2 linked regions of the Arabidopsis thaliana genome follow. The protein of the gene in region 2 interacts with the protein of the main gene of each other region in a pairwise test. Each region holds a gene or a part of one and is shown on either strand. Other genes may lie near its edges.

Region 1 (7,799 bases), on a different chromosome or scaffold from region 2:
GTATGCGCGTCATAAATGAAAAACACTTTGATTAGTATAAGAACATTTAAATTTTAACTACTATAAAGAAAAAAAAAGCACACGTAAAAGCTTTTAGCCATGCATGCACGATGTTTACTGGTTATCGAGAAAGCATTATCGTTGTTGGATAAGACATTAACTTTCCTCTCCTATATGATCATAAAGCTTGTTTTTCTTCTTCATAAATCTTGCCGCTTAATCCTTATCCATTATCCACCAAAAATTCAATTTTGTAGGCAGCTTTATGAAATAATGCTTTACACCATTTTGACTCGATTATAAGTATTATATATATCCACTATTCGAAATGGCCCACGATATCTGTATTTTAATATGACGTCAAATATCTTATTTTGTCTAATGAATCCAAACTAAGTACAGTATGTGAATCTTGGTAATATATGTATATAGAGTTCAGTTCAAATATAAAATACAAGTGTATGACGTCAAAAAGAATTTTTAGATACGTTATAGGCTCATTATTTAACTATATGTTCACTTTGGTGCAGCTTAGTATCTTTTATGCAGATATAATTTGAATTTTTGATCTGGTGAACTATATATTGTTAAGTAAAAAAAAAAACATGTCGGTCCAACCCAACCTAGACCTGTCAAGCATGTTTAATGATGGTTTGGCCTGATCCATTTGTTAAACAGTAGGTAAAATTTGCAATCTTTTTTTTTTTTTGTTTTTTTTTGATTTTGCAATCTTCTCCCTTATCTACACTGTTCTCTTTAAGAAACCCGCTATAACACTTCCCGAATCATTCATGCGGGAGAATTCAAAGGTACCTTAATATTACCACCTTCAAACCAATTCGCACATGGTCCAAGTTGGAAATGGTTAACCAATTTAGTTACCTATCACTATCAAATTCCCACAGTTGGGTGTGATGCATCATACATTTGCAAATGTCCAACATGGAAATCCGAATCAAGTAAACCCTATATATACTCTATTTTTCATGCGTTAAAAGGGTTAAACCCTTTCTTTGAAGAAACTTAACCTTTGTTCAAAAACATTGATATCGTTGAGTACTTGTGTTGCTTTAAAAAGCTTTCATGTCATTTTATTTGCATATTCGATATTGTAAATAAATTGCAGATTAAATGGCATATTCTTTCAATCCGAGCTAAAACAAAATCATTCTCTTTTTCTGTCTGCTGTTTCAAACTTGCTGGACAATTATATGATCTTTCTGATTTGGACATTAAAATATCCACAGATAACGTAAACTTGAAATATTCTGCAACCAAAAATATGTCCATTCAGTAAATAATTAACAAACTAGATCATATTCATGAAGAACTAAACCAGAATCATTAAATTTAAACATTAGAAATAAATTAAAACTTGTGTCATATACTCGATAATAAATCAAATTATCTTTAACTTTACACATATAGGCCTATATAAAACAATCTGTTCGGCCGTGTATGGTATATAGTTACGTCATTATCAAATTAATCTATATGGAACTGCCATAAGTCGACCGGTGGTCAATCCTAAGCCACGAAATCAAACTTTTAAACGACGAACTAAAAGTTTTCAGCCAACTATAAACAGGCCACTCTGAATAATTGACTGATTTTGACTCCTTTCCACATATTTAATTCCAACATCGAACGATTACATTTTTAATTGCAACAAGTTCAATAGCTTGAGACGGGTATATTTCTTATAAGTTGTATACATGTGTTCAAATAAAATGGCTCTTGGTGTCGTGAAAAAGAGAGAAGATTTAATATTATAGAATCGAAAAGAAGACACTAGGGTATTTTGGATTAGATCAATACAGCCAAAAGTTCCACTTTAAATTAATGTAATTTTCTGGCTAGCCAACCTTTCGAGAAAACGAATTGACTATCGTCTACGTGATCAAGTTTAACCCTTTATATTTTACCATTTAAAAATATAGTAAGTAGAAATTAATTGATTAACAAATCAATAGCCAACCAAGCGAAAGCACTTACTATTTCTTAAATAAGTTTTGTTGGGGTTTATTATGTCAGGTGATTAAAAAACAACCGATGGTTGAAATTGACCGACGGCTCCAAGTGTGTGACACTGCCCCGCCAACTTGTCTAATTCCCCTCGAAAGCATATTAGCAACATTATCCCAATTGACCATTTTATTTTACTTTTGTTATGCTAATGCTTTTAGTTATTTGTCAATTTATACATTATCATATTTGTCTTGTTTTATTTTACAAGTGCCTCAAAATTAAGCATGATCCTTTTGTCTAAAGGAAAGTAAGTATATCCCTTCTCTATCATCTTAATCCGAATAACAATATATTTGAGATTTTTTCTTGACAATTAATGGCAAATTATATTACGACTTATATATCTTTCACGAATACAATTTTGGATATCCCGTTCTTGATAACTTTCGAGGACTTGTATGAATTTCCGTCCAAAAGCCTCGGATTACAAAAAGAAAATAAATATGTGATATATGTTTATTTGTATGTATTATATTTCCCGGGAGATTTGAAAATATTAAACTTTAAAGGAGAAACGGAGGAGGCTTCCTCAGTGTACTATTGAATCCTTTGACACGTCAAGTCAAATCGGATCTCCAATTAGCTTTTGTCTAAAGAAATATAGTAAGGTTTGTTTGTCATATTAATTAGGCTAGGATACACTTGCGGTCAAGATTCATGCGAAAATGTAATCATTATTCTTCGAATTTGAATTAGCATTAAATTAATCATAATTAACACGTGATTAGTAAAATCAATGATTCAGATAAATTAGATAATAATATTAATAGTAGTAAAAGTTAATAAGAAAAATAAAGACCATTTTTGTGGGACTAATAACCCATTATAAAATTTCTTTTGTCATGAAGTTTTAGCTGAAAATTTGATATTTTACCTTTCATGATTATTCTACAAGACATGATTATCTATTAAAATTTCATTGTGTTAATATTAATTTTTATACCACGTCTTTTTCTCCATGATTATCGTAGAATAAACTTTTGGTGTATAGTACAAGTTTGTTTTAAGTCACGACTCACCTACTTAATTGAAACGAATATTTTAATATTTTCCGGTGCTTTATGAAACTTCTTCAATATTCTATACACGTCCACTTATGTGTATCCCAATCTCTTCTTAATTTAATAACATTGCTCACTTTTTTTACCAACCCAACAGTTAACACCACTTGTATAGTACATGTAATTAAACGAAACACACAAACAACGTATTTCCTTCCATACATGTGCATGCAAATTGTCTTGTCATAGAGTCTGCATTAATCTAGCTATATGATAAATAACTACATACAAATATTTTAAAACCTAATAATTTTCTTTAATAAGAAATCCTTCGTTGTGGTTTATAGAAAGCCGTCAGTGGATAAAAAAGGCATAAATGAGAAAAGCAATATAGGGAGGCAAAGCTAAACAATTTAAAAACACTTTTTTTAAAAAACATAAACTTCAACACTAAACCTTTTCACAACAAAAAACACGGAAAAAAAACAAACAAGCGAAGAAAAGTATTCTTCACCTTGGTTGGCTTATTGTGTATGTCTATAAATATTCCATTAAACACTTCTCTTAAAACCCAAAACCTTCACAATCTCTTTCCCTCCCTCTCTCTTCCTCAACATGACATCAAGAACATTCACAAGACATTCCAGTCTCATTCATGTTTTTCTCCTGCTTTCTCTCGTTTTCTCAGGTTATTTTCTTTTTCATTCTGAAATTTTAAAACCAAATTCTTAACACTTAAGTTATGCTTTACGTTGCCGCCTTAAAACCTCAACGTGTAAGATTTTAACATAGTGAAATAACGGATCGATAATAAGTCTAGAATTCATTTTTTCAATGTTTGTTTAATGGAATATTAAAGATTTTTGGCATTGTTTTCTAAAAGTTCGATTCTTTGTTTGGAAATATAGGGAATATACTACAAACAGTAACGTCTCTTGGCATCAATTACGGACAAGTTGGGAACAATTTGCCTTCACCGGATAAAGTCATTAACCTCTTGAGATCTTTAAGGATCACAAAAACAAGAATTTACGACACTAACCCTCAAATCCTTAGTGCCTTTGCAAATTCAAACATCGAGATCATCGTCACCATCGAAAATCAGGTTTTACCATTACTACAAGATCCTCAACAAGCTACCCAATGGGTAGATTCTCACATTAAACCCTATGTTCCGGCCACTAGGATTACCGGAATTATGGTCGGAAACGAGCTTTTCACCGACGACGACTCTAGTTTAATAGGGTAAGTACTAATCGTTGAATATTAGTCTAATTTGTTACATGATCACAGAATTAGTTTTTTTTCATTAACTGATTTCACATTTTCTTGACTACCACTTGGTCAAATGTAACGAACTCCTTCGAAAAAAATATTATATTTATTAAACTCCACTTTGAATTTCAATAAGAAATGAGTGTAATAGTTTTTGTCCAATAATTGCTAATTTTGACTATATTCTCTCCTCTTTTTGGTAATAGATACATGATGCCGGCGATAATCAACATCCACAAAGCCTTGGTCCAATTAGGTTTAGATAGATACATTCAAGTCTCGTCTCCAAGCTCTCTTGCCGTCCTCGGTGAATCTTATCCTCCATCTGCCGGAAGTTTCAAGCCGGAGGTTTCCTCCGTGATGCAACAACTTCTAGATTTCTTGGAAGCCACGAAATCTCCTTTTTGGATAAATGCTTACCCTTACTTTGCCTACAAAGATAACCCACAAGAAATCCCAGTCGATTACGTTCTATTCAACCGTAACATCGGCATGACCGATCCCAACACAAGACTACACTACGACAACATGATGTATGCTCAAGTTGACGCAGTTGCTTTCGCGGCTGCGAAACTAGGGTACCGTAACATAGAAGTTAGGGTTGCGGAAACAGGGTGGCCTTCAAAAGGAGATGTCGGAGAGATTGGAGCGTCTCCTGTGAATGCTGCCACGTATAACCGGAATCTTATGATGAGGCAATTCGCCGGAGAAGGAACTCCAGCGAGACGGAATGCAAGACTCGATGTTTATATATTTGCGTTGTTCAATGAAGATATGAAACCAGGTCCTACTTCGGAGAAAAACTACGGTATATTCCAACCAGATGGATCATTAGCTTACAATTTGGGATTCTCTACAATGTCGACAACGACGGCAAATTCAGAATCTGTCACTTATTCATCCTCTGCCACTAAGGTACGATTAGTATTATGTGGTGAATTTTGTTAGAATTTGGAATTATTGGGGCCACGACGAGAATAAGTTTGTGAAAGGACTAGATGTGCAAAATGAATTAATTCTCTGTTTTCTTCTTCTTTCAGGCAAAGAGGAGCTTGGAGTATTGGACAATTTTGATATTGGCGATGGTTCAAGTTGTAATGTTGAGACTATTTTAGAGGAAAAGTTATTGACAATATAATAACGCGATTGTTTAGGATATTTATGTAAACAATTTAATTATAAGCTTGATAAATATAATTTATATTCAATTCAACATTCAAATGAAGTCGGTCAATAGTGAAAATTCTAAATTTATTGTTGTCGTTAACAAGTAATTGACATATATAATAAAGAAACAAAGTTTACTTTTTAAGAAAAACTTGTCGTATATGAAAAGGTTTGAGTAAGTAGTAACTTTGACCAAAAGGCATATAATCGATAACCAGTAGCGGTTTAGAATCAACCATATATTTTTTTCCCTCTAATTCAAGAAATATGGCATAGCTTAATTCATTTGTATATGTTGTTGGATATTTTAAATACAATCCCTAGCTAGTTATATAATATAGATATTAGAATGCAAACATATGCATTGGAGTGGACGGTACGAAGAATTGGAACTGAAGCTAAGAAAAAAAAGCCATGAAACAAGAGCTTATGCTCACGATGCAAATTCACATGCTCATTTCCAATTATATCGGCTCAATATACTCCCTTGTTCTTGCCACAAACGATGCGTTTTGACCTTGAAAACATAGACACATATGCTTTTTTCTCTCCATATATTATTTTACCGATCAGTCAAGTTTAGTTTTATAGAATAAAATAATTCAGCTGCACGTAAGGAAAAATAAGTACTTTCTGAAAAATCAAAGGACACGAACAATCAAACATTAGTATGCAAATTATTTTCATACACTTGACCGTCAAAAATGCACTGATCAATGCACCGGTCATTCCGAACAAAAAAGAAAAAAAAATCTTTAAAAGATGAAAAATACAAAAGTGCGACGAGAGGAACAAAATCGTTTCACGTACGACGTATCGGCAACGATATCTAGGGTTGTGTAGAAAGATCGCAAAAGAGAGTAGTAGCGGAATTAGGGTTCTGGTTATGGCATGGAGATGAACCGGAAGGAGGTACGAATCCTTTGGGAAGCATAACCGAGAAAGTATCCTGTCGAACCGGACGGTTTAAACCGTTATTCTTCTTGGCCATCATCTTGAAGTAGCCAGCACGATGATGAAGACCACGGCGATGACGAAGAGTATGTCGATAGTAGTAGTAGTATTGGTGATTGTAACGACGACGACGGTGGTTGTCTCGTTGCAACCGCTGGTTCAAGATAAACGGTGTCGTTTTCTTGATGTAGACGAGTTGGTGCGGTGATTCGTAACCGTTGAGATAAGCTTCCGTTTTTTGTGTTGATGATACTCTTGTTTCTTGATTCGAAGATGATGATGATGGTGAGATGAGGAAGACGAGAGTGAGAATAAGAGAGACGATGAAGCTTTTTAGAAGACTCTGTTTCATCAAAACCAAATCTTCCATTGGGATTGAAAGAGAGTATAGGGTTTTGGCTGAGAGTAAGAGAGAGCGTAAAGATGAAACAAAAGCTCAGAACGAGGAGGGAATTAGAATTATATAATTCCTAATTAGTGATAAGTAATATCATTAATGAAATTATGAATTTGTTTTTTAAATTTTCGTCAATGTTGTGTTAAATATGAATATAGTTTTATATTGTAGTCGAAAGAAAGTGATTAAACATACAAAGGCACATGTTAATTATTTTTGAATGCAAACAATATAAAAAACTCATCACTACTTCATTAGAAAGGAGGAGGAGGAACATCGATGGTGGTTCCAGCCATAATCTGACCCTTACCAATTAGACGCCAATGCCTATCGACACGTCGGCTTAAAGCAACCTTCTCTCCTATGGTGGTACACACCGGAGACGTCAGTTGGAGTTTCACCATATCTTTCTTGACTCCAATAACCTTAGCTCCCGTAGACATAGACCCGATGTTCACCATCAATATCTCTTCTTTGGTTAGCTTTGACACTTTCATTTGCTTCTCTTTTTCCTTTGTCCTCACTCCAATGAGACGAGTCAGAAGCTGGTAACTTACTTCAAGCTCAACAAAGACGTCAGGGAGAGTACCCATTTCACCAAGGACTTGACCAACCAACCTATCAGCACGCGTAAGCGTAGGGTCCATGGTTGTTCCAACTCCGATTAGACCTCCCGGTACAGCAAACTGAAGCTCGTTCTGTTCCGCGTATAGTGAAGTTATACGCGAGTAAATTGGAGTGCATTTTGAGTTTCCATGCTCATCTTTGCCAGTGATACCAGGTCTAATTTCAATCAGTTGGTTCACTTTCAAAACACCCAAACAAAGAGAGACACATATTAATACTAAATTGTTTCACAGTCAGGTAAGAACAGAGGAGAAACAGAGAGATAAAAACATACCTGGAGGATACTTCCACCAGCAACACCACCTTTCATTTCATGACCCGCCGAGCCAGGTTTATTGACATCGAAAGAA
Region 2 (7,458 bases):
ATTATTTTAAAAACAATGTGAAAGAGATTAATGCAAAGTTGAGAGCTGAGTTTCCGACAAATTTATTGGATTGACGAACTTTGAAGAAGAAGAAGAGAGATGCCGAAGAGAACGACACACACGTACTCGAGCGAGGACGCCGCGCCGGATGGACCCGACTCTGATCTCTTCGTATACTACTGCAAACACTGTGGTTCTCATGTCCTTATCACTGGTTCGTTTCTCCAATTTCACCTTTTGATTCCGAGTTTGGGGTTTAGTTGCGTTAAATTAGAGTGAAACCCTTTTACTTGCGAGATTGCTCTTTGGTTTCCAGATACATTGATTGGGAATTATGATTGAAAGTTTCAATCTTTGATTTACTTTGAACATCAGGTCATAGTAGTTTATAGTTTTTAAGTGGTGGATAACTTCTTGCTTTGAATTTAGATTAACAACAAACTACTTTTTAGGTCCAAGCACAGATTTTTACATGATTTCGATTTAGATTCTTGGGGTTTTGTTACTCTGGTAATGTTGATATTCGTTTGTGAACTAAAAAGTTGGAATGTGTTAAGACTTGTAGCTCATTGCATGTTTCCAGTAATTCTGTAGATTTACTTATGTCCTGAATCTTTCTCATTGGCTTGGTTACTCCTTGAGAACTTAAAAGCTAAGATTTTAAGTGGTGAAATATGTCGTTTATCCGATTAAGAGTGTAACATGCAAAGTTATGGTATCCTTGTATATTGCTTGTATACTAATTTAGATCCTTTACAAGATACCCAGTTGCAGAAGATGCCAAAAAGGAAGACCGACAGGTCGAATGTACTTGACAAGAAGACGCACCTTGCTAGGTTGAATGTCAGCGAGGGAGGAAAAGTTTTATTGAAACGGTAAGTTTTGGTCTAGAGCTACTGAGCCAGTGTTTGGATTTAACCATCGATTTATCTAAAAGTTTGTTTCTTTATGTTTGGTTTGTTACCAGTGGCGAAGGAAAAATGGAGAGACAGTTTAGAATGAACTGTATCGGTTGTGAGCTTTTTGTTTGTTATCGTGCTGAAGAGAATCTGGAAACAGCGTCTTTCATTTACATTGTTGATGGAGCACTTAGTGCTGTTGCTGCAGAAACCAACCCACAGGTACAATTGGTTTCTTATAATCTTTTCAATTCCAAGATCAAAAACTAGATCACTAATCTGTTGTGGCGGCACACAGGATGCACCAGTACCTCCCTGCATTTCACAACTCGACGGTGGACTTGTTCAGGTTGCAATAGAAGTGGAAGACCGTGCACAACGTTCAGCAATCACAAGTAAAACATAGTATTATGGCACAAAATCTATTTTCTTACTCACTTGACATGGATCTTCGATTAAACAATTGCCATACTCTTTTTTCTCTCTGCAGGGGTAAATGCTGATGATGTTCGTGTGACTGTTGCTGCACCAGCAGCCCGTGGGGAAGCTAACAACGAGCTTCTGGAATTCATGGGAAGGGTACCAAATCAATCCGTTATTAATCACTTTTTAAGATTTATACTCTAGTCACGGCGTTTCATATTTTGTATGTGAAAATGAGGTTTTTTGACCAACGCGACACGACCTCTGTGTTTTTACTCTTTCAGGTTCTTGGTTTAAGGTTGAGCCAGATGACTCTCCAAAGAGGTTGGAATAGCAAATCAAAACTCCTCGTGGTACGTTGATCCTTCCTTTGAGTCTCTTGAGAAGACTTTGTGAAGATTCATCTCTAAAAACTCTTATTGTTTTTCTTAGCTCTAGATGATAAGGTTTTGGCTTTTATACTAATGGCACAAGGACCTCTAATAGTGGTGATCAAAAATAGGTTGTCGCATTGAATGAATAACCCATTCTGATTTTTGTTCCCCTGAACCAGGTCGAGGATTTATCAGCTAGACAAGTGTATGAGAAGCTTCTCGAGGCCGTTGTACCGTAAAAACTGCGGTTTGTGGTTGGTGAACGACATTAGCTGAAATCTCTGCAACTCCTTAGTTAACACCCTTTATTGGTATGAAGAACGAGTTTTCGTATTTTACTTGAGAAAGATAGCTATAAACAAATTGCTTTCTTCTTTGTTTTCATGCTTATGCGACAACTAACTCTTTTTATACAATCCCCTATTGTTAAAAGTTATAATAATCGTCTATACTCTTTAGATTCCTTCAAAACTGATTTATCTATTTCGGACCATTCGAAATTGAAGTCATATGAAAAAAAGTTTGAAAATCTTTATATATATGTCTGCACTAATTTCAAAAACCTGTTATTAAAAACAAATTTTCAGTGTATAATCTGCAGAATAAAACGATCACTATTGCACTAATTAAGCTTAAGAATAAGATATATTTGTGTAGTCCAAAGGTGACTGTACTGTGACATGTTTCACATGTTTCAGTTCTATTTCATCGCTGTATCGGACCAATCGTCACAGACACAGTTAGCTAGTTTGTAATTATATATATCTGCCCCAATCTCTATTTATTAATATTAGAGACATACATATACTTCCAGAAAGTGTTTAATGCGTGACCTATGTCTATCAAACTGATTAATATATTGCATCCACTTCGATAAGACGACATACTGATTTATATTTAATTTTTCTATTCACAAGTAAACTGTGAATCCCACACATATATAATATATTTATTTGATTTAATTTATAAACCACACATTTTACATATTAGTTGGATATTCTACAAGGACATGACTTGATTAATCAATTAATTAAATATACATCGAATCACATTGCTCTCTCCTCTTGATCTTCACCTTTAGCCCACCAGCCATGTGAGCGGTTAGAAGAGGAACAAAGACCGGCCGGTTATTGCAAACCGGTATAATCTTAAACCGACTCAAAACTGAACCAACCACGTATTTCATTTGTGTAAAAGCCATTTCTTTACCTATGCAAACCCTTGGTCCGGCTTGGAAAACCGGAAACTTGAACGAACTCACACTTTTCAAAACCGGTTTTGTACCGTAACTCGGTTCTTCCTCAAACCACCGGTTTGGTTTAAACTCGTCCCAATCTTTACCCCACACCTTCTCCATCCTTCCCATACCGTAAGGGAAATAAGTGACTTTGTCTCCCTTTTTGAGAGGTGTTCCATCTGGCAAAATGTCGTCGTTTGCTGCATGCTTTGAGTCCCAAGCCACTGGTGGGTAAAGCCTCATTGCTTCACACAGACAAGCTTTTGTGTAACTCATCTCTCTCAAATCCTCAAACCCTAACCCTAAAGACCCTTTGTTTCTCAATTCGTCGAGTATCTTCGTCTCCACGTCATCATTTTGACTCAACAACCAAAACAGCCACGTCATCGCTGCCGACGTTGTATCCCTTCCCGCCATAATAAAGCTGATTACACTATCCCTCACGGCTTCTTCCCCGTGGCCAGCGGCGAGAAACCTCGACAGCAGGTCCTGCTTGTCCGACACGTCACCACCGATATCGAGGCTTTTCTTTTTGGCCCGGATGATCTCAGACACAGACAAGTGTACGGTCTTGATGGCTTCTCTCAACCTCTTCTCGCTCCCTACGTTCAAGAAACGCTTTACTTTCCACACGGCGTAAACCGGCTCCGTGGCGCGGCGAGCGCTGATCTCCGCCGCTACATCAAAAGCCTTAACAAGTTCTGGAACGGGTCGGGTCAAATCCAAACAATCCGGATCCCAACCCAACGACACTTTGCATACAACATCGAAAGCAAAGCGCTTCAAAACCTCCTGAAAATCAACCGTCTCTCCACAGTCCACGGCGGAGGAAAGCACCGGAATGAGGCGGTTTTGGACTTCTTCACGGAGGATTTCGAAAGTGAATTCCCTAAGAGAACGCATTGTAAACTCGTGGCTCGCGAGTTTACGCTGTGAGCTCCATAACTCGCCGTCAGAATTAAAGATTCCGCCGCCGAGTAGATCTCCTAGGAGGTCGGTGAAAGGTTTGCCTTTAGGGAAGTTATAAAAATTTGTTTTGAGAATGTGCTCAACGTTTTCAGGGTTTGCAGTGATGATAGTCCGACGACCGAAGAGGAGATCGACGGTGATGGTTTGAGACGGAGAGAGACGGAGGAGATCTGTGTACCATTGGAGAAGACGGTGGCGGTTTTTGTTGAAGGAGAGAATAGAGCCGATGAGTTGGTACGATGTCGGATTAGAGGGTGATGCGGTTTTGGCTTTTAGGGTTTTTGTTGGGAATGAGAAGATTAATACAAACCCTATGATTGGAAATAGGATGAGAATTATTGCGTTGAGCATTTCCATTTTGGATTCTTGGGTTTCTTGTTTGGGTAAGTTAATTATGTTGTTTTGATTTGTGTTCTTGATCTGTAGAGGAACTATTATATATATAGGAGAATAAAAACAGAATAAAAGTTGTGGCTCCGACCATATCACTTCGGTACAGAACACGACATAATTAATAAAGCTTTCTTTCATTTCTTTATTGAAACTTGATTAGTATTTTGAGCGATAAAGCTTTTTCATTTAAGAAGGTTTACCTTAATTAGTATTGTCTCAAGTCGGATCCCAACCCTAATTTTGATTTATAAAAAACAAGTTGTTTTGACTTTTGAGTAAAATGAACAAACACCTTCATTCATTTTTTTTAACAAAATGGAGAAAATGTCATCGTCAAAAGATTAAAAAATTAAAATGGAAAATGTGTAAGCTCGTTTTTCTTTTGTCAAACATATAAGCTACTTTTGTAAAGAACTATTGTATAGATACATATACATTGGACTTGGCCATTATAAATTGGAATTGTTAAGGATTTTGGCTATATTAATAAGAAAATTTGGTATCCTCTTTGATATGATCAAATTAATAAAAGTTACACGTGATCAACAAGTTTATTTGCTTAAACAGTTGGAAGAAATAATCAAGCTAATTAAAACGTTTTTGAAACATATTTTCAGTAAATGTCGACGCAACATGGCAATCACACAGGGACCAAAGAAATGAAGATTGATGTATAATTAAGTTGATTTGGACAAGCCACTACCACCGAACCGGTGGCCAAGTCTCCCGCCAAAACTAATAATAAGAGACATAGACACGGTTCAAACGCTGAAAAGGTTAAACATTTTCATCAACGAAACAATTATAAATATATTTTATACTGTATTTAGTTAAGTGGTCTCTCATCAGAACTTATAAATGTTGCTTGTATTAAAACTTTTTGCCCCTTCCTGGAATAGTAACAGAATCTTTCACTTAAACAACAAACTCTAGTAGTATTAGTTATTCTAATCATTAATTATGTCCAGCCCGTGATGACATAAGTGATGATCTGACAAATAATGAACTTTGATACTTAGGAGATCTTTTTGAATCAAGGGAATCATCAAATAATATATAATACTCAATTACTCAGCATTTGCAATAAATATTATCTTCGTTTCTTAAGGAGTTGATCCGCATATATGCCCAAAGACCAAAGTAAGTAACCAAAACACATTGGAATCTCTTTGCAAGACGAAATTCGAATTCGGACATAAAATTTGATTTGTTTTTAATCTGTGTATCTTTCTAAACAATATTTAAATTTGGATTACAACTAGAACAATATCCTTACAATCGGTTGAGCTACCAACATTTTTGTTGCTATATCTAGTGTCGATAAGTTAGTGAACTATTGAAATCAAGATTACTGTATCTCACTAGCATATATGTTTGTTCTAATATTAATTTAATCACAGTTCTAAATTAAATAAGTGTAATTTCTTTGCGTGCAGACGAATAATTCATTACATGAGGACGACAAAGTATTGGTTGGAGAATCCGCCAATACCAGACATGTGTCGGATAAGATCGAACACGTTGATAAAATTCTTCAGCCGAAATTTGAAACAATTGAATGCACGATTATTATTAACGTTATGTATGTAGAACAACAAATAAAAATACACTTTTTGTGACTACTAGTTCAGTGGATCTTTATCAGTTTTCGTGCACGTGGTTCACGTGGTTTGAAAATCGAGTTTCTTTCATAGAGCAAAAAAGTCGGAACTAGTTCCATTGACTTATTTTTAAGCTCGTGTTGGCTGAAAATCATCCACATTTTAAAAAATAATACAATCTTACCTCTTTGTCTCATCTATACTTTATTTCGTTTTAGATATTTCATATTTATTTGCCTACTCATTAAAAAAATATCTATCTAGTAATCTTTTTTAACTAACTCATTTCATTAAAATAGACGAGAAAGGTATAGTGGTTTATGTATATTGATTATAAAATAAACAAAATGATGCATACATTTCTTTTGTAGTCCGGCGTTAATAATTGATGATATGCGGAGTGAAAAAACGAAAACCAATGGTTAATTAATTAGTTCATATGCAAAATATGGTGAAAATATGTAAGATTGGTGTGAGCCTGTCACGTTGTGACCAGAAAACGGCGCCGTTCGGAGAACTGGCTCCATTAAGTACAAGAGCTCTGAACCAAAAGCATCGCAACGAGTTTCTACTTATTTATTAGAAAATGTCCACAAGTGTCCCATTCTTTGCTTTGATTTGACACACAATTATTTGTCATAACGACATCTACAAAAAAAGAAAGAAAGAGAAGAATTGCCCTTCTTTGAAAGTACTTTCTCTTTCATTTTTCGTTCTCACAACTTCATTTTCACCGTCCAAGAGACTCGTGGTTTTGACTCGCACTAATTTTTATGATGCTTTTGTTTTCATTTTTGAAAGGGAGAAAAGAGAGGTACTATATCAAATAGACATCATTTTACTATCAAGAATAAGAAATTATTTCAATTTTTTTAAAAAATTAATAAATAATTTAGAAATTCAACACTAGCTTTTCACGGTTAAATACTAAAGTCTAATCCATAAAACTAAAATTTTAGCCCCATTTATTTTCTTTTTTCGTTTTATCTCCTAATAACCAAAAATATACAACGGTTGTGTTTGTAATTTTTTCATCAAATCCGCCACAAAAGGATTTTGGTTTCACTTTTTGGTAGGTGAACAGGAATTGAAAATTTGCATGTCTCACTTGCGGGTCAAATGTTGTTTTGCCTTATAATTCTTCTTTGATTTTAAACTATTGACCATAGTGTTGTACTTAATATAGCCAGCCCCAAAGCAATTCCATCACATTTTTAATTAACCAAGACCGCCTGGTTTGGTTTGGTTTGCTTTATCAAAAGATGAAATCCATATTACAAATGTCACCAAACCGGATTCATAAACTAAAGTAGCCTAATTCCTGATAACAAATTCTCCAGATGAGATCAAAAGGATTTGTATTTGATCAAGAACAACAACAATTCTCTCCTATTTGGGAAACCTCTAAAGATACATATATTCACCAGAGCACCCTTCTCAACTTCATTTCAGTTGGCACTCTTCAGACGCGCAATGAGCTCATCCTGCAAAACCAGTCAAGTTCCATAATCAATCAGTGGAACAAGAGCCACGATAAACAAAGAACTGGAAGCAACCCCATA

The links. Proteins that work in one complex are often made in the same cells at the same time.
Region 1: the proteins of CYP94B1 (region 2) and AT4G18340 interact in a two-hybrid assay, tested with the Arabidopsis thaliana proteins (one large-scale study listed by BioGRID).

What each region holds. Positions count from the first base shown.
Region 1 is NC_003075.7:10,127,865-10,135,663, reverse strand, and holds AT4G18340 (Glycosyl hydrolase superfamily protein), read left to right. Parts: upstream 1-3,471; 5' UTR 3,472-3,644; coding exon 3,645-3,717; intron 3,718-3,937; coding exon 3,938-4,274; intron 4,275-4,510; coding exon 4,511-5,219; coding exon of another isoform or gene 5,220-5,252; exon of another isoform or gene 5,253-5,344; coding exon 5,345-5,419; 3' UTR 5,420-5,614; downstream 5,615-7,799. Other genes in the region: AT4G18335 (uncharacterized protein), read right to left, coding at 6,301-6,795; AT4G18330 (Translation elongation factor EF1A/initiation factor IF2gamma family protein), read right to left, coding at 7,077-7,640, 7,724-7,799.
Region 2 is NC_003076.8:25,406,261-25,413,718, forward strand, and holds CYP94B1 (cytochrome P450, family 94, subfamily B, polypeptide 1), read right to left. Parts: upstream 4,466-7,458; 5' UTR 4,434-4,465; coding exon 2,727-4,433; 3' UTR 2,561-2,726; downstream 1-2,560. Other genes in the region: AT5G63440 (hypothetical protein (DUF167)), read left to right, coding at 100-214, 761-875, 968-1,121, 1,198-1,294, 1,390-1,478, 1,607-1,675, 1,876-1,935; AT5G63460 (SAP domain-containing protein), read right to left, coding at 7,345-7,380. UniProt on the Arabidopsis thaliana protein: Hydroxylase involved in the oxidation of the plant hormone jasmonoyl-L-isoleucine (JA-Ile), a bioactive phytohormone of the jasmonate-mediated signaling pathway. Converts JA-Ile to 12-hydroxy-JA-Ile.